2 linked regions of the Lepisosteus oculatus genome follow. The protein of the gene in region 1 interacts with the protein of each later gene in a pairwise test. Links are inferred from orthologs where the notes say so. Each region holds a gene or a part of one and is shown on either strand. Other genes may lie near its edges.

Region 1 (10,224 bases):
CCTGTCAAGAACTCAAAAGTTGTAGTGCAGTGTTTTATGTGCTAAGCATAACAAGCACTTAACTGCAAGCAATTCACAGTGATAATGAAGAGAAATTAGTTTTGTGGAAGGTTCGCTGGCATTTTATTAAAGAGACTGGGGCTGATCAACACTCCCCTATCCACTGCCCCTAAAAGACAAAGACTTATTTTCTCACGGTTTCAAAGGCGGCACTTTTCTCATTTCAGTTCTTGCATCACTTATATTTGCCTTGGCTAATCCCCTCATATATTATACATTCGTCCATTATGCTGCTTGTTAGTGGTAAGGTTCAGAGGCATTGTTACGATAATTACAGTTAGAACAATACTTACATTTATATAATAGCTTTACATCCCAAGGGATCCTAAACTGCTCTTTATATAGCAGTGAACCAACTATCACTGGAAGAGTAGCATCCATATGAGTGATCCATCATCACACAGCAGGTCAGGAAGAGAAAAGAATGACTTGAGCTGATTTAAGGGGTAATTTAGGGAGTTATGATTGTCTAAAAGTAGAATTTATCCAGGACACCAGGAGATGAACACCTATTGCATTTGCATCTTTAATGACCAAATAGCCTGCATCTTATTTTCACGTGTTGGACAACATCTTTTATAGCTCCAGGTCACTGGTATGGAAATTCTGGTCCAACACGCATCTTATAAGGGCAACCTACTATATTCTTTTTTTGAGGTCTTCTGAACTTAAGAGGCCGAACTTTGCTTTGTTTCCGAGATCTGATCTGTGGAGTGCAATGGGTGAAACTACCGGATTGAGCTGTTTGGGATTCATCTGTATGCACAGCAGTCCAAGTGGAAACCTCTCTAACCCAGATGGTCCTGTTGACGTGCACCTCAAAGGGGGTTAAAGGCAGTGGGCCAGGATTTGCATCTTCATTGTGCTGTCTTGTAAATCAAGAAACTTATTGGCAGGCAGTAGCCTTTTAACTTCATGTCCTCGCTCTCAAACATAACTTCACTGAAGTCTACTGTATGAGAAAGAAAGTGTCACAAATCATGTGCTTTAATTCATTTTGCCAGTAGGAGCAGTATCCTAGTGTTTTTCAGAACACTTTCATGTAGCCTGTTGTAAAATCATAGCTGTGTTGTGTCAAGCTGCATTTCAGAGATCTGTATTTGTAAACTCATGTCTTAATGCGTACCCCTTCAGGTAAAACCTCCAAAATCTTTGAAAGAATCGGTTTTCTTTAAAAGTTGCCAGAAACTAACCGGGTTCTTTGTCGAGTTTTAATGGCTGTTTGTCTTTTTAAAACTGGGGTTGAATCAAGCTGTTTTATAACATCCCTTCTCTTTGGATGCAATCTGGCTTCAATTATTTAAATATCAAACGCTGAGAAAAACTGGAATGGCTCACGTCCAAATAATGTAAGCAGTTCTTGAAGAAAGGCAGCAATTAGAAGAACTGTTTCCATGTGTGACTACCTTTGTGATTCCTTTTCCATTTTGAACAAATCTGTTCAATTTCCTTCTGTATAGATTATTAACAGAAGTTGAAATTGTTTATCAAATTAATAATAGTTCTGACGAGATAAAAGACTGACATTTTACTCTGGTTACATAAAATAATCAGAACCTAGACTCAATTATTTGGATTTTTTGTTTGTGAGCCAGACCTCAGTTATTAGCTCACATTTTCACCAGATGAATGCAGATGCAGCTTCTAGGATAGCTTTTGTCTCTCATGGGGAGCTATGGGGCCCTGCATTCAATTCCTGGGGTGCTGTCTGTGTGGGGTTTGCATGTTCTCCTTGTATTCACATTGCTTTCCTCCCACAGTCCAAAGACGTGCTAGTAGGTTAAGTCTCCTGTAAAACTGGCCCTGGTGTGAGAGGGTCTGTGTCTGTGTGTGCACTACACTTGACTGGTGTATCCTGCCTTGTACCCAATGCTTCCCAGTAAAGGCTCTGCTCCACCATCCTGATATGGATAAGCAGTTATTTAAATCATTGGTGGTGGTGATTATGGTTAATTCATGGTAAACTCACACTTGTATAGTGCAAGAATAGCTACATCTCTCCACAGAGTATTACACCCTATCACATTTTACTGGTCACACGTAAATCAATTTGTAGAGACTTCAAAGTATATGTGACATTTGAGAAATTAAAAAAAGTGAATTTGTTTAATTAGGAGAGGAAGGCTGTCAGGTGTGGTCATCACCCCAGTTTGGGCATTCACCCTTTATGTGTGCTGTTCCTTATTCACTCACTTGATAAACCAAGAAACTGACAGACAGTTCATGTTCTGGGAGTCAAAGCCACGCCACACCAACCCAGGAAAGTCAATTCCATATGATCCATCTGCAGGGTTTTCAGACTATAGTGGCTACAGCATGAGAAATGGCTCGAGGAACCAGTGCATCAGTGCAATGACTGCAGCCCATCGACTGCATTTGCATGATCTGCATACTTCGTGGGGTAATGTTGACAGCCAAGAGGTGAAATCGCCATCCTCTGATCCAGAGCACAACTTTGGTGGTGCTGAAGAGACTAGTGGAGCCATTTTGCTCTTCACAGACCTGGTGGTAGTGGGTGTGTGGAAATGTCGGGGTGAGTGCTATGTTTATTGTTGAGTTTTTCAAGCCAACCAGTGGGGTGGTGAATATTTGAGGACTAGAGTAGGAACCTCTTTCAACACAAGGACACCTCTGGTGCAGACTAAGGGACACCTTACTTCTCAGAGCTACTTTGATCAATTCTTTCCGTTGCAATAATAATAAAAAACATTATGTTATGTAACGCCTTTAAAGGTGGTTCTCAAGGCGCTTTACAGAACAACGGGAAGATTAAATACACAATGAGGAGACGGTAGATGGGAGTACTGAATACGGTATATGCAGAGGGGTATATAACAGAACCAGTTAAGTAAGAGAAAGGTTTTGAGTGTAGATCTGAAAGATTTTAGGGAAGGTGACTCTGATATCCTAAGGGATAGAGTTCCAAAATTTTGGGGAACAACAGGAGAAGGCCCTTTCACTCATAGTGTGTATATGGGCTTGGGGGACAGATAGGAGACCAGAATTAGAAGAGTGGAGGTTGCAAGGTGGGGGTAGGACGATGGTAGCTCAGACAGGTACTGAGATGCTAAGCCATGGAGAGCCTTACAGGTGAGCATGAGAATTTTGAAGTTGACACTAAACCTGACTGGAAACCAGTGCAAGGACTCCAGGATAGGAGTAATGTGATCACTTGCACTTCTGTTATTCGCTGCTACAGGACGGTCTTGAATTGTTGGCTTTTTTCACAGAATGACAGCACATCGCTCAAATTCCTATGGTACCCCTTAACGAACAGGTGAGATCTTGCCATTGTCATCTTTTTTCTCCTGTTCTGAGCATCTTTTGACATCTGTGGGGAAAAACAATGTCATTGACAGGAGACAGCCCTCCGCTACTTGCTGAGTTTGCACAGGAAGAGCGAGAGAATATCTGCTGTATAAGTCAACACTGCAAGCCATGTTTGCATTAATGTGCAATGGAGTCATACCCGATAACTCGCAATGTTTTTTTTACACTGTCACGTTTAAGACTGAACACTTGTCATGAGTACCTGATCTGTAATCATTGATCTGGTGTGTGTCTAAAAGTGTTCAAGATTCACAAACTTGTCGATATTCTGTATTCTTTCTGTAGGTAATTGTTTGCTGTTTCACTTTGGGATTTCTTGCTGTTTCACTTAAGGATTTCAAATCTATGTTTTCCTTTAATAATTCTACTTGGGGTTTAGAAATCTAAAAGGATAATATATGTGGAATAAAAATATGGTGGTGTGATCCTTACACATTTTGAAGATTACTCCTGCCATCTGGTGGCCAACCGGCCTACATCTGTCTCATGTTCCAAGTGTCTTAAAAGTTGAATTACGCAATTATTACTAGAAATGTGGATTCACACTTAATTATGATTCATTTAAAGATTAACCCCAAAGATTATAAAGATTATAAACATGAATAGAGTGTGAAAGAAGTGTTTTTATGTCCATATCACATTAAATAGTAGAAACTTGATTTTCTTATTTAGACTTAGACATTTTACCACCATGTTAATGTATTCACTACCACATTGACTGTTTAGATGCTGAAAAGCATTATTCATTTTGCTGTTAGGAATTTTGGCTGATGGCTTACATCGTCAATTCATTAGCACTTCTGAAAATACAAAATATTTAAAGAAATATATTTATTCTAGAGGGGATATTGGTGAAAGTATCGTTGAATCGTTTTCTAATTTTTGATTGTCAAATTGGGTACAAAATTCTTATTTTGTCTTACAGATCATTCAAAGAAATTCACTGAGATTATAAAAGAGCACTCTTACTGAAATGATTGAGATAAGTGACCACATAATTCTTTATCACAGGGACAAGCAATATATCTCTAGTAGGGCAGGTGTGTCTAGTGGTTAACTATGTGTCTTGGAAATAGCAGCACCTGAAGAGCTGGAATATTGTTGATGTGGTCCTATTAAGTCAATAATGAGCTGATTTAGGATAAGATCAGAGATGGAATAAAATCCTGAAGACTCACCAACAGTCCTGCACCAGGATTGGCCACACCAGCAAACATAATTATCTAGTTAAGATAGTTAAAAAATAAATCCATCCATTTTCTAACTGCTTCTTCTAATTCAGGGTTGTGGAAGAGCCAGAGCCTATACCCGCAAGCAACAAGGGTACACTCTGGACAGGATGCCAGACCCTCGCAGGCAGGCAGACAGACACATACACACACTCACATTCACATCAGGGCATGTTTTCCAAAAAACCAATTAACTTACCAGTGTGTTTTTGGACTGGTTTTGGAGCACCTGGAGAAAACCCATGCAAACCCCACGCAGATAGCATCCCTGGTCTGGGCTCAGTGGTCTGGGCTCAGGGCCTAAGAGCAGCAAGGCAGCAATGCTAACCACTGCACCACTGTGTCACCCAAATACAAAATAAACATCTTGGCTTAAACCGGAATTGTCTCTTTTTTGGAAATAAAAGTAATCTGAACGTGCACTGGTACTGGTATGACATTCTTCAACAATAATGGGGCATTGTTATTGTTCACTTTTAATCCCCATACACACAACAGAATAATAAAATTAGAAATGTCAAATTAATTTCACTCTGTAGTGATAAGGCAAGTGGCAGGAAGAGCTACAGGTGAACCTAATCAACACAAATTTCCTAGATATGAAAAAAATCAGAGGCAACCTATAACATCAAATTAGTTATTACATCATTATACACATAACATTATTATAATGTATCCAAATCTAGTTATCAGTAACAATATAATTTATTTTTTAGCTCTCATCAGTGATTTACGGGGTAGATAATTATTTATCTATATGAATCAATCCCAAATAATACAATGTTTGATGGAATAAATCAAAGGACTCAGGTTAAAAAGTGACTCAACTCAAACAGTAATATATTTATAGCAGTATTTTTTTTCGACAAGTGGCAAGAATGATCGGATTATTTAACAATACAGCCGATATTTTACAAACTCAAAATTGAAAGGATCAGAAAACGCAAGACCAAGAGGTTTCGTTTTGAAAAGACACATCACTCCTCCATTTACTGCATATTCTAGAATAACGCTGATTGCAGTCTGGGTGATTGCCTGAACCATAAATAAGAAGATATTTTAAATCAGAAAATCTAAAAGTAAAGAAGTAATATTATTTTATAAATAGTCAAACTGGTAATGTTTAAAACTAATGCAACGTCAATCAAATTAAAAAAAACATAGACCGCCGTGACATAAATTAAACCGGCAATATCAGAAGACAGCTAACTTCGTCGTCTTTCGCATACAAAAGCAACGGATTATAGTAGTAGTTGCTGTATTTGGGCCTTGCTATCGTGTCGTCTTGTTTTTGTGAAATAATACCATATTCACCGTAAGTCAGTAGCTGAATTGATATGTATACTATACGTGTTTTGTTGTTTTTTTTTATTTTAAGCAACCTCTCAATTTATCTGTCTGGCTTAAAACAACAACTGCTTACTGTAATGAATTACTGTTGCTAAGAGAGGCCTTTCTCGTGAGGCGCTTTCTTTATCGAGAAACGTTCCGTGTTGACGTTTAAATAATTGGCTTTTTAAATTCAGATATGTTATATAAAAAGTTCTATTATGGATTTTTAGCCATAGTGGTGTGTTTCTAAATTAGCGAAACCTTGGGTATAAGTGGTGGTAACGATATTAATGGCATTCTTCAAAATGCTAAGGTAGAAAGCTAAATTGGTTGTACAAAGAGCAAAGGGTAGTCTTTACATTATTTGTATAGTGAAACCTGTAAAGGCATATTTAAAAGACCTTCAAATTGGTCTCTTCTGTATATTCGTGAGCTCAGTAATATCGTGTCCGCTTAGTCTGTTTTGTGGCTTCATTACGCTGAAAATCATGCATCATCATTATGACAAGAATGATTTTTTTTTACGTACACATTCAAATCCGTTGACAAATAACTTAATACTGAAATAATGGTAGTACTCAAACGTCTCGATTACTAAATATGTTCTGTTTACTTAAAACATAAGCCGTTTCTGTCCAGTATTGAGGTGCTTGGGGCTAAATACAACATTTAGTTTTAGCTAGATGTCACAAAATCTCCACCATATTTACTTTTCAGATGCCTACTATTAAACTGCAGAGTTCTGATGGAGAGATATTTGAAGTTGATGTTGAAATTGCGAAGCAGTCTGTAACCATTAAGACTATGTTAGAAGGTAAGAAGTTCACATAAACTCCTGTGTATGACGTTTTCATTGTTTAAACTGTTAAAACATGAATTTACAAAACCAAAGGAGATTTGTGAGAGGAAAGAACTTCTCAAAGCAGTACTTTGTAGTACTGAATTTGTTACTGTTAAGGAAATATTTTTTTTTCCTCTCAAACATAGCATGTTGCTGTAGAAAACAAGGGACTGTTGTCAGTTATCAAGAATTTTACATTATTTTGTTATAGTTATTTTGAATAACTGAATTTTGGGGAAGCATAATGGGCCTTAGTTTAAAGTTTTTTAGATAAGGGTCTGAGAGGATACATATAAGCTATATTTTTAAGGAGAGTGTCCTAGTTGTAATATGCTCTGTTCACTTTTTATAATCTGCAAAAGAAATAAGATTTTTTACTGTTGAGAATTGTAGTGTACAGCTAGAAACAAGTTTATTTTTAGTGGATTATGTAGAGGATTGCATAAAAGAAAAGCTTGGAAGTTAACAGGTTTATTTCTTCAAGGACAGAAGTTTGTTTTACCTTTTTTCCCCAGAAGGGGAACTGTGAAATGAATAATTGCAATGGTTGCCTAGTCTGGTTGTGTAAACAGACCTTTGGATCATTTATGGGTCCTCAGAATTTTAGAAAACCTGCTGGAAGGTAGATCTCATTTTCTGACATTGATATACTGTGTTCGCTAATTTTGGCACAGACTTAGGCATGGACGATGAAGGTGATGATGATCCTGTTCCACTTCCCAATGTTAATGCAGCTATTCTGAAAAAGGTAACGTTTTTTATTTTCTAATTTTAAATACAGTATGTCTGTACATATGGCTAATAAAATGGTCTTATATACAATTTCTTGCATTAGGAATTTGTCTTTTCGTATACCCCAGCTTGCTCTCCATGAGACATAGAGACAGGGAAAAATGTTTGGGGGTCAGAGCGCAGGGTCAGCCATTTATACGGCGCCCCTGGAGCAGTTGGGGTTAAGGGCCTTGCTCAGGGGCCCAACAGAGTAGGATTCCTCTGCCGGCCACAGGATACAAACCGGCAACCTTCCAGCCACAGACACAGATCCTTAACCACAGAGCCACCGCACCACCCATGTCTTTCCACGGGATAGTTTCTCATAATGAAGTAGTGAGTGTAGCTATAACATTTCGGCTGGATGTTAGATTAGCCCGTAGTTCCAGGGAATTCTGTTTCTTTGCTATGTTCTGGTATGTACTGTATGAAATGTATCCATGCTCCCTTCAGATAATTACAATTGAAATTAATAATATATATGAATTTATCTGAAAATTCCTTTCCGATTCCTGAAAACTTGTTTTTCTCCTTTTAATTGTTTAGGTGATTCAGTGGTGCACTCATCACAAAGATGACCCCCCTCCTCCTGAAGATGATGAAAACAAAGAGAAGAGAACAGATGATATCCCTGTGTGGGATCAGGAGTTCCTGAAAGTTGACCAGGGAACACTTTTTGAGCTTATCCTGGTGTGTATTATTAATTCTTCATTGGGTTTGAAAAGTGTGAACATTAATGTCTTTGTAGGTTATTTCAGGTACTTAATTGTCTAAGTGTGTGCTTAAGAGTTGGTAATAATTAGTTAGAAACTCAATAAAATTAGATCACTAGGCTCCTTGCTTTTGTTGTAATTTATAACAGCAGTGCAAATAGTTGTCCACTGAAAATATAATCCAACTTAGTGATTCAACTGTAAAGCACAAATTGGTTTCTTCTGCTTGTTTGTATGAGTGACTTGTGTTCTGTAAAAGTAGTTTTACTTGTAAGGCTGTTGTGAAATTCTTGGCTCTGATGTGGCTGTTTTGCAATCAGTATAGCTGTCCCACTCCTGTTTTGTTATGTAATACATACTTAATTTGTAATCTGAGCACATTTGACCTTTGTGAACTAGCTTTAAATGCTTTGCATCTTTTTCCAGTACGTTGCTTTACAGAAGTCAGTGTCATCTTATACACAATCAGGAGTTGCAGTTTCTATTTTAAAGCATCAACAAATTCCTCACAACCTTCTCTCATAACTCAAATAAGATCCCGAAACAGAAGCAAAACCTTGTTTAATGATGCTTTTCCAATACTTAATCATTTTAACTTGGTATGACAGTAGTTTGAAATAAGTTACAATTTTGATGTGTTTATGAAGAAGAGATTAAAACTGAGTCAGCATCATATACAAGATGGTGTACATGAAGAATGTGTTTGGAAGGCTGCAAATTTCAGTTTGCAGTGGACCAAAGTGAATGGAGCTGGAAAAATCATGGCGTAAAGATGTTGGTTGTTTTGAACTTGCTTTGGTCTACATCATGTGACATTGCTAGTCACAAACAAAAGTTCTTTAGAAATGTGCTATATCATAGGTTTTGTATCCTCTTCAACTGTTGGTCTTGCATTGAAAACTAGCAGTTTATTAAGATCATCTATAATTTCTAAATCCCTGATGATTATTGCTATAAAGATCTTTAAATTTAGTTTTTCCCATAATCTCAGAAGTTTTACTGATTTGTCTACTCGCCTTGTTCAGTATCTTTGTAATGGATAGATTTAACATGTTTTTTTTTTTCCAGTTGGTAAGAACAACCCCAGTTTTAAGAGCATGTGAAATATCCAAGTTAAAGCAAAATATATAACAAAATCTTTGAATCTTTAAGTGCTACTGGATGTCCAGCTGATTGGTTAAAATAAGAATGTTAGATTAAGCAGGGCCTTTTTTCAGATAGTTCTTTCAGGCATGCAAATCTTTAATCTTTCTAGTAGAAATGTGAAAAAGGTGTATTCAATACATTTGTGTTATAAAGTGCAGTTACTCACTTGCTAACCATTACACACTTAACTGTCTCCTTTACTGTTTTTAACAGTTATGGTAGTAAAAAAACCTTCTATTAGTTGTGGCTCCCACAGCAATACATTTATTAGCCTTTCTAATGTCCTGTTTTGTCAGTAATGACTGCCATTTTGTCAGTCATTAGACTGATTATGAACTGTTTCTCATTCCTGCAATATCGATTTGCCTGAAAGTATGTGCCTTCCAGAGTTTTGATCTGAATATAATGTTTTTACATGTATACATCTTTTCAAGGCTGCAAACTATTTGGACATCAAGGGACTGTTAGATGTTACATGCAAGACAGTTGCTAACATGATTAAAGGAAAAACTCCAGAAGAAATTCGAAAGACCTTTAATATCAAAAATGACTTCACTGAGGAAGAAGAAGCACAGGTAATTACTTCAGTTTGTGTGTAGACGTGGTTAACGTTGATATCCTATGCATTACATCCATCCATTTTCTTAACCGCTTCATCCAGTTCAGGTTCGCAGGAGAGCTGGACCCTTAACCTGGCAAGCCACAGGGACAAGGCAGGGTACACTTTGGATAGGACACCAGTCCATCACACGGCAGACACACAGACGCACAATGACAGATACACACATTCTCACCAGGGCTA
Region 2 (10,001 bases), on another chromosome or scaffold:
GGCTCTGCAGCTGCTGCTCCAGCTCGGACACCTCCTCATCCTGTAGCCGGTCCGGCTGCAATCAGAAGACAGGACAGGATTTTCAGTGCCAGGGGTTAGCGAGGAGCACAGCCAATGAGGCTCCCCCATTTCCCTCCTGAGAGCCTTCCTGGAGCCTCCGGGAGCCTGGAATTCCAGCCTCTCCCGGATCTGCCATCTGCTGCCATGGAAACGGGCTCAGAATCGCAGAGCAATGCAATGGACACTGTGAGGGTTTGAGAAAAAAAAAGAGCATAAAACTAAAATATCGCTGGAAGAAAGAAACAAGAACATCTAACTGTATGAACAAACAAAACACAAGGTAAAAAAGGTCATTTGTTGGGAGTGATCGCCCAGGACTCTAGCTGAAACAGAGGAACAATGTTCTAGTGTGTGTAACTTCAGATCTGCTTGGCATTTACGTTTATGTCCTTTACAAAGAAAAAGAGACTCGAAATGATGATGATGATGATTATTATAATTATTATTGCTTACACGTATATAGCGCTTTTCTGGACAATCCACTCAAAGCGCTTTACAGGTAATGGGGATCCTCTCCACCACCAATGTGCAGCCCCACCTGGATTAAGGACACCAAGTCCAGATGACACTGATCTACAGATACACTCAGGGCAGCTATAATGTGAAAAACGTTCAACAGTAAAGGGGAAATTAAGGGTAGGAACAGGTCAAACCTTATGATATTACCGTTTGTGCTGCTCCCTTCACATGGATTAGTATTATTGTGCTGCACATTAGGGAAAGGTTGAAACAGTACTTCTGCCCAGTGTTAAACAAACAATATAAAGCACAAAGCCGTTTCTCACCTGCGCCCTGTTAACATGATGGAGGCAAAGATCCACATCTGGAAGGCAGTTGTCCAGTGTCTCACTCCCAGCTTTGAGCTGGGTCTCGAAGGTGGGCTCCTTCAGGCCGGACAGTGTCCGGCTCAGGTGCTGGCCAAAGAACTGCTGCACCAGCCCGCTGGCGTAGCTCTGCAGGAACTTCCTGCACACCCCCTCATCCATGAACTTGATCTGGATGCCCAGGCTGGGCTGGGCATCGTGCAGCTTCAGAATCTCGTACCCCTCCAGGCCACCTGCCGCATCTGGAGGAGGGGGAGGTTATGAAAATATGTTTACCATCACACAGAAACGTGCAGATAAAACAATAATAAACCAGATCAGCTCCAGAACCCTGCAGGAAGCCGGTGACTACAAGAGGAGCGTCCCTCCAGCCCCCACAGAGCCTGGGTCAAGGACGATGGGACAGGTGTGTGTGCATCAGGTGATCACGGGCAGAACCAGGGCCCACCGGCCTGCGAGAGGTCAACTGGCCAGCCCGCTCCCAAATACCTCACAGTAACCGGACCAGAACCCTACGTTTATACCATGCAGGCACTTCAATTCCTGTTCCCACCGGGATCTGAGAGCCAGAGGTTTTGAGTACAGGGGCCTACAGGCTGTAACAGGGAAGCTAACGGATTTCAACCACTGATAAGGGTCAGGGGTCACAGGAAGCCCCCGAACAAAACCATTAGATTGAGAAACTGGAAGAAACTGGCACGGCACTCAAAACAAAGTAAAACGTGGTTCAGTTTCACAGCCTGCAGTGGACACGCACACTGGAGACTGGGGTCTGGGGTCTGGTCACTGGGGTCCCCCTCACTTCTTCCTGCCTTTCTAGCATCCTGCAGCACTGCGCCTCACTGGACCGCCTTGTCCTGCCGCTCCTGGTGGAAATCGCCACCGCGCACGGTGCCCACGATTTAATTCAGGCCGGAGCAACAGTCAGCTCCCTACTTGCTTAACGGATTTCAGCACCGTTCAATTAAAGAAAGACTTCCCACTGCCCAGTCCTACGATTACTCAAATAAAATTCTTTTGGCAAGGGCTGACAAGGAGAAGGAAGACACTTGCAAGCCTTCCCCCATCGCCAGGCCGACACTCAAGAGGCGTCTCGCCGCCCACCTGACAGCGTCAGCTTCACGGCTTTGAACACCGCGAACCTCTTCTCTGGGTCCCTGAACAGCGCGGTGAGATCCTCCTCCCGAGAGCACGAGCACAGGAAGAGGAACAGGCTGCCCGACCACACGCCAGCGGCGCAGTCCGACATCACTTTCTGGAAATGACAACATACAGGAGATTAAAAGCTTGTGTGAAAAAAAAGCAAAGGCCAGTGTGCTGCTTACACAGGTCAGAGCAAGGACTTAAAAACCCGCCACCTCCTCCTCCACCGCCCTGCGGCACAGTTACCTTTTCCTCCATCGTTTCCATTGGCCGGTCATCACTGTCCACTCTCTTCCGCCCGGACCGCGTCTCCTTAAAATGCCATGACTCCTGCAAAAGCCACCAGCAGGAGCGTCAGGCGGCGAGCGCAAGACTGGAGCGCGGCGCGAGCGGACGGCCTGCCTTCAGCCAGGACCGCCGCACTGGACACAACCCGGAACACGCCTGCCCCGGGCCTCACGGGCCGCAACCCGTCATGAAGCTCACAATCGGTACCACAACAGCGCCCTCCTGGCACTCTCCTGCGAGAGCGCGCCCTGTTTCCCATGAGCCTGTGCCAGCCTTCACGGAAGAACCAGGGTGCACGGGTCAGGCTAGCCAGCCCGGTCCCAGATACCTCACAGGAACCGGACCAGAACCCTACGTTTATACCATGCAGGCACTTCAATTCCTGTTCCCACCGGGATCTGAGAGCCAGAGGTTTTGAGTACAGGGGCCTACAGGCTGTAACAGAAAACTAACGGATTTCAACCACTGACAAGGGTCAGGGGTCACAGGAAGACCCCGAACAAAGTGAACGTTAAAAAACTGGCCGTGTAAACAAAAACAAAGTTGAAAGCCGTCTGTTCTGAAACTCTCCCCTTTACTGAGAGAACAGATGTGTCGCTCCAGGGCCAAGAGCAGGGGGCCTTCTTAGCCGTGGGTCCGTGGGTCTCGCATCACAATGGCCAGGTGTGTCGAGCTGACCGCAGGTCCGGAGACAGCTCGAGACTGACCTCAGGCCCCGCGCACTCTCTGCTCTTCCTGATGACCAGAAAAAGAGAAGGACTCTGCGACTCTGCTGCCAAGAGGACAGCTGTACAGTCTGAACACCATCCGCCGGCTGTACACTTCAGGTTTCCTGTAAGAATGGCCGCTGCTTAAAACTCTGAAGAGTCTACTTGCTCTTGTCAGAAATCGCTTTTGCTCTACTGCCATGACCGCAAACTGGCTGAGTTCGCTTTCACAACAATTCTTCTTAAAAGCTTTCGATCTCCACAGTTTGAACTTAGCATCCATTTATCTGGGTTTGATTTCGAGAAACATGCGATCGGGAAACGTCTTCAAACCATGCGCTTTTTACCCTCAGGACTAGGACAGAGGGAAAACCGAAAGTAAACTTTGAGAACTCCAAAGCATGTTTACATAAAGGTACCGTAAAAAGACTGATATATTTATCTGGGAAACTGGATATATTATAACCTGTGAAATCACAAATGAACATAATATACCCGTCAACTTACCGCTCTTTAACAACGCAAAGCGATTTCCTGTGTGGCGGCGCGTATCGCTGGGCACGAGTTGCTCATTAGAGAGGAGCTCCAGCGCTCCGGCAGTCGTGAGCTGCAGGTCGGGCTGAGCCCTGCAGATCCAGGAAGTGCCCGGAGCGCGGAAGAGCGAGCGAGCGAGCGAGCCCTCGCGGCCGGCCGGGCTGGCCCTGGCTCCACAGTCAGGTACGCGCGGCCGCCCCTGCACGGGGGCAGCTCGGGTCACATGACCGCTGGCCCCGAGCGCCGCATTCTAGACTTCAGGTCTGCTGTATGGAGACTATGCATTTTAGGTCATTAGCTCTTAGTTCTAACCTGCAGCTTGATTTACCTGTCTTTCTCAGGGGGGATTCTTGAATCGTAATGATTGTTCTTATATCTAAGAACATACATTCTTATATCTTCCTATATCTGGGTGGAGCAGTGGCTCTGTGGTTAAGGATCTGTGCCTGTGGCTGGAAAATTGCTGGTTCAAATCCCACAGCTGGCAGAGGAATCCTACTCCGTTGGGCCCCTGAGCAAGGCCCTTCACCCCAACTGCTCCAGGGGCGCTGTACAATGGCTGACCCTGCGCTCTGACCCCAAGCTTCTCTCCCTGTCTGTGTGTCTCATGGAGAGCAAGCTGGGGTATGCGAAAAGACAAACTCCTAATGCAAGAAATTGTAAAGGGTTGATAAAATGATGCTATTATCTAATGATAGGGTCCTGTGTAAAAGTAGGAATACAGAAAGTGAGCTTTGAAATTTGACATGTTAACTCAAGTTATAAAAAAATTAATTTGATATATTAAATTGGGCCAATAGAGTTTATAACACCCACTCACGACACTCTATTCCCGGCTGGGCTGCAGGGCTGACTGCGCCGCAGGACACTGGACAGCCCCGCAGAGGAACGGCTCTGTGCAGCGGTCAGCATGCAGGCGGTGCTGACAGATCGCAGGACAGTCGCAGGCTATTAAATCCCATGGTGTTTCACGAGCATGAAAATAGATGTAAAGAAATACAACGAATGCTGTGTTTGTCTTGTCATACATAACCAAGGGTGTGTTATAAAACAAGTGAGTGATATTCATTCATCTTCTGCTTACATTTCCAACACGAGATTGTAATGGAAACAATAAAGATCAGCTTGAATGTCACTGTTTCTCTTTACTTCACTTTGGTTTGAAAATGCAGAGTGCTGAGGCCCACTACAGGTACACAAGCTATGAAAAATAACAGAATTGTTCTCCAGAACAGTCTTGTTTTCTCATAGTAGTCTATGACAGTAACACATGCTTCAGCATATTATCACTGACCCTAGGATTGTTTTTGGACTAAGACATGATCGACATGGCCCAATTCTTTCCATAAAATACAGTGCCGATCTTTCTCCATTATTGTGCAATGATTTTGCCTGACCAGTCATGGTCTGCGAAGGTCCCACTGATCCATAATTTCCTAAAAAAGTGGAAATGTTTATTGGGAACAAGCTGTTCCCTGTAATTACTGTACAAGACAGGAAACATACTTTACCTTTCACCTTACTGTCCTGGTTTTATTTTATATTTATTTCTCCACTCTATTAGGAATTTCTCTTTTGGTATATCTGAAAAACAGATACAAAATATTATTATCCAATATAGAACACTATATCCTCAAAAATGTATTAATTAATTACAGACTTCATAAAATAAAGAAGAGACTTGTTTGTACTGCTATATTAGCCTCCAGTGCTTCTGACAATAACCCAGCAGAGTCAGGATCTAATACTGAAAACTGAACCTGTCTCAGACACCACACGATAAGGGCCTGCAAGCATCTGGGACTTTCAGATGCTAGACTCCACTTGCTCAGAACTACACAATAGCAATCATGACTGACATACATCCCTTTGCAGAACGTGTAATGGAAATAGACTTGGGGTCAGAAATATACTAGCCTATACCGTTTTAATGTGTATGTTTGTTTTAAAACATTTCCAGCTATGCTTAAACAACTGTAAACCAAACATAACCAAAGAATTGCCATGCAGTCTTAGAAATGTTGCAGTTTTCCAATATGTTTAGCATTCCATACCAGACTGAAGGCTCTCCTCTATTTCAGATGAGACTATGAATTCCTTCCTCATTGTGCCATTATGACACACAATCATTTTTGTCGAATGATTGGCGAATATCTCCAGTCTTGGATCTGGTAGGAGTGCACAGCACGATTGTCTGTATAGACCACTTGTTAAATTAAAGAAACCCACAACACCGTAATTGTTCTATGTCATTAGCAGTCGTTCTTATTTGCTCATAAACATGTTTATACTGCTTGTGTACCATAACCCTTAAGGTTTAAACTGTTAAGTCCGTACTTATGTTGCTATACGTACAATTCACGATTGTATTCCATGGAAAGAAATTTTCCATTACACGGAATTCCCGCAGAGTAACACACGGGTGTTTCACACCTCCTGCCTAGGTGGCGCTAGCGGGTGGAATGAGCATTATAGCAATTCACACACTCGTCTTTGTCCGCCTCCGCTCGTCGGTTGTTTTGAAGGCGAGGCTGCTCCAGCGCAGTAGAGTTTGAGAAACTGAACTGAAGTGTACCGCTTTCTTCTGGTGTCCGTGTCACCTGATGTATTTTTCCAGCTGACTTTACGGAGAAATTGAACTTTAAAAGATCTACTGCAGAATCAGTGCAGAACTCCTCCAATCGTCATCTCGCGAAGCAGCCACCAATTACGTAGTAGGAAGGGAGGACGCCAGCTGTGATTGGTTGAGGGAGACGCCTGGGTGCCCGCAGGGGGCGGTCCTTCCTTTGTGGCCTTGTTTTGTCGTGACGTCACGCCGGTAGCGAACACAGCAGCCTTGCTGATGAGCAGAGGGGAGCTATGCAGGACAGAGAGAAGAGTAGGGGTGGCCGGGAATACCGGTAAGATACTTTGCCAAATCACAACGGACAGTACAAACATGGAAGCAGAAGTGGGGGGTCCACAATCTTTTGGCGTTGGAAGCCTGTGATGAGTGAATTCTGAGTAAAATGTGTTCAGTCTGACCTCCAGCAATGAGACTCTGTTCGGGATAGTTATATCCTCTGTGTAAGATGTAAGCCTCCACAACTGTTAAAAATCCCTTGTCACGCCTTGATTGATCCATAATTGGACAGAAAAGAGAAAAATACACTGTTCTCTAATGAGCAGCTCCGCGGGTTACCTGAAGTCCGCCATACTTGTTGGTACAATTCAGTGTTTCTAAATAGTTTTATTTCTACTGTAGCTTGTTGATCTCATCTAAGCAAAACATTGTCTCCCACCTCTTCCCCCCAAGACCTTTCACTCTTCACCTCATTCTCAAGTGGGCTGTCAAACAGGCCGGAGTTATCAAATTAATAATAAAACGGGGAGCTGTATATTATTTTGAAATCTTTCCTGTTTTCTAAGTATGGGAATGATCAGAGCCCCTCTGTGTGCCCAGGAGCCTGGTGGAGTTACCAGAGGAGATCCTGGCTCAGATCTTCTCCTTCCTGCCGATGTGCGACAGGTACAGTGTCTCCCAGGTGTGCAGGTCATGGTCCCAGACGATGGCCAGCCCCTCCGTCTGGACCTGCACTGAGGTCAGGTGGGTCATGTTGTCTGAATGGGTAAAACCCAAAGGTGAAAGGTGGTAGTGTACATATTCACTGTATAAAAATTCACTATTATGCTGAGTCCCCACATGCAAGCATCCTGGAATGGTTAATCACACAGTTTGGTTGGTGTGTTCGCCATAGTGTAGGTGCCACCCATCCTGTTCAGAAGTTAACTAGCTTTATTGGTTCAGTAGGTTCTGTTGCTACAAGCTGAGTTGCATGGGACAGTCTGAAGCTCCAGCTCTAACTGGGAGCTGCTCACTGCTGATGAGGCAAAAAATGTCAGGCAGGTCAGTGTTCAGCTCCTAGTCCACTTTGCTCAATATAAGAGGAAAAGTGTATAGTTTATCAAATATATACACACCAAAATAGTTACAGAGGCAACAGATGTGTTCGGCTTTTTTTGTTTGATCCAACTAATGAAATCTGCAATCTGCATCACTCTTGCAGCTGTGAGTCTGGAACAGAAGACCCTGGCTTCCAGCAGTTCTGCAAACTGCTCAGGAAGGTTCAGCGCCTGAAAATTGTGCTCAGTGACCTAAAGGAAATAAACAACCGGAACACAGCCATTAAAATTTTAAATTACGCCACAGATCGAGACAACAGACTCCGAACCCTGTGCGTCTCCTGCACCGGTGAATTCCCCCTGTTCTATTCTGGCGAGGACATTTTGAGAAGCATTGAGAGTGTCTGTCTGAACAAAGCCAGCGGCCTCTCGCTCAGGGAGGTGGACTTCAGGGACATGCCTTTTACACTCAAGGACTCCCTGATTAGGAACATTGCGAGAAGGAGCCCCGACCTGCAAAAGCTGTATATCAATAATCAGACTCTTGTGTGCAATGTGACCGCGGAGACAATTAAAGAGGTGCTGGCACTGTGTCCTAAGCTGCGTGTTCTTGGGGTCTTCTACGCCAGCTTGTCAGAGAAAGTGCTGAGTGCTCTCCTGGAGCCTCAACGACCTCCATTCTCCTTATTGGAGTTGTACTGCGAGCGCACAGACAAGTACATTCCTGCCATTTCCAAAGAGTTCTGGACTTCTCTGTGTGCCAGACACCCCTTGCTTTCCGTCAACACCATCTTAAATCATACTCTACCTGCCAAGAAGATTCTAAAGATTCTGCAACCTGGGATTCCGATCAAAAACCTGGAGCTGATCACATACACCTATCTGGTGAGGGAGATCGGCTTTGTGGCGGAGAGCTACTGCAGCACTTTGGAGAAGCTGGTGCTCCAGACAACCTCCTCCGAAGAGCTGAACTCTGCCCTCATCAGCCTGGCCCTTTGCTGTGGTGGTCTCAGGGAGATCCATTGCTACTGCGTAGTGTCGCAGGACGTGGTCCAGGCCTTCCTCTCCAGCTGTCCCCACCTGTGGAGGTACACGCTGAAGACCGTGAAGGAGCCTCACCCCTGGAGGTGCACCGTGCTCAGGTGAAGAGGAAGAAGTTGTTGCACACCTGATCTGCTGGGTCCTCCCTTCTGTATGTGTGTTTTATGCCATTGTCTTTCAGTTGACTTGCACAGCACTATCTCTGTGTATGCTAGCCTCTAGCATAGGAGCCAGAGAGATTAGAGAAACCCACTGACCCCCACAGATTCAATAACCTAGCTCATGGTGATATGGTAGAGACAGTCCCTTAATAAAAATGGCTTTAAATTCAGATGTTTCCATTTTATTCATAGTCAACTACATGGTCTGGTGCATCATGGGGAATTAGAAAAAAAAGGTGGCTTATTTTATATACGTGGCTGGTATGGTCATCCGGTGGTGAGTGCTGCTGTCTTAATTCTCTTGGGTGCTGGCTAAGATTCGGAACAAGGGAACCTTCTGTGTGGGCATTGCATGTTCTCCCCAAGTCTGCCTAGATTTCTTGGGGTGCTCTGGTTTCCTGTTTCTCCCAACTCCTGAAGCCATGGTGGTTGAGGTAAACTGAGTGTCTAAGCGTAGTCCCAGCTTGTACCCTTTGTCATCTGGGTGAGGCTCTGTCTCATAGTGACAATCCTCAGGAGGAGGTGAGAGTGAATGGATTACAGAAATATAGATGTATGATGTAATGCTTTTTTATATTCTTATTCTCACGTGTGTGTAAAAGCCTGGTATTTAACACAATGTATACAGTATAGACAGTTGACAATGGTTTTAGAGGGTCAAAAGAAATGACACAAACACAAATGACAAGCATTAAGTATTTTCTAATCTATTTTTCTATTTTTCAATCAATAGATTACTTGGAGTTACTGCTAAATGTTAGTTTAGTTTTAACCTTCTTTCAGTGCCTTTTCCTAGATTTATCATGAAATGTAGCTCTTATATTTATGAAACAGATTTTTGTTTTATTAGCAATCCAGTATTTATTTTGAAGTGCAGTCGAACTGTTGCTGAAATTGTTATGGGAGAGTGTATTTATGAAGTCATTCTCTTAATTTAATTAAATTTCAACAAAACAGTGTCTGATGTCCTCTTTGATGGCGTGGAGTTACTTTATCAAACACAGATTTACATGCTGATTTCTTGTGGTAATTATTAAGGTTTCCCAGTATTGGAATACTGCATCCACAGAGCTTTTGGTGTAATACATCTGGATTATTGGGGATCTCTCTGGACATTGATCATGCAAAACTACAAGCCCTGAGCCGTGGAAAATGAGACATTTTAGTGTATTCGTTCCTCTGGGGCTCAAGGATAAATCTTTGCTCTCACCTGTTTCACACTTCTCACTGGCTCTCTGCTTTGTCACTCCAGCCTTGCAGCTCTTTCCATGCTTGGCACGCTCCTCTCCATACCTCTTCACAGTGTCCTGCCTCTTGTCCTGCTTGTTCTCCTCCGCTGCACCTCTGTGGGTGAACCAGAT

What was found.
Region 2: the proteins of skp1 (region 1) and fbxl8 interact in binary tests that used the Homo sapiens proteins (3 or more experiments, as listed by UniProt). The link is inferred for Lepisosteus oculatus from reciprocal best matches to the Homo sapiens genes SKP1 and FBXL8.

The regions. Positions count from the first base shown.
Region 1 is NC_090706.1:23,939,968-23,950,191, forward strand, and holds the start of skp1 (S-phase kinase-associated protein 1), read left to right. Parts: upstream 1-5,823; 5' UTR 5,824-5,934; intron 5,935-6,668; coding exon 6,669-6,765; intron 6,766-7,466; coding exon 7,467-7,540; intron 7,541-8,109; coding exon 8,110-8,253; intron 8,254-9,856; coding exon 9,857-9,997; intron 9,998-10,224. UniProt on the Homo sapiens protein: Essential component of the SCF (SKP1-CUL1-F-box protein) ubiquitin ligase complex, which mediates the ubiquitination of proteins involved in cell cycle progression, signal transduction and transcription.
Region 2 is NC_090715.1:941,062-951,062, reverse strand, and holds fbxl8 (F-box/LRR-repeat protein 8), read left to right. Parts: upstream 1-6,069; 5' UTR 6,070-6,398; coding exon of another isoform or gene 6,399-6,415; coding exon 6,416-6,456; intron 6,457-6,998; coding exon 6,999-7,142; intron 7,143-7,346; coding exon 7,347-7,442; intron 7,443-7,602; coding exon 7,603-8,584; 3' UTR 8,585-8,810; downstream 8,811-10,001. Other genes in the region: tradd (tumor necrosis factor receptor type 1-associated DEATH domain protein), read right to left, coding at 1-55, 846-1,126, 1,989-2,139, 2,274-2,294. UniProt on the Homo sapiens protein: Substrate-recognition component of the SCF (SKP1-CUL1-F-box protein)-type E3 ubiquitin ligase complex.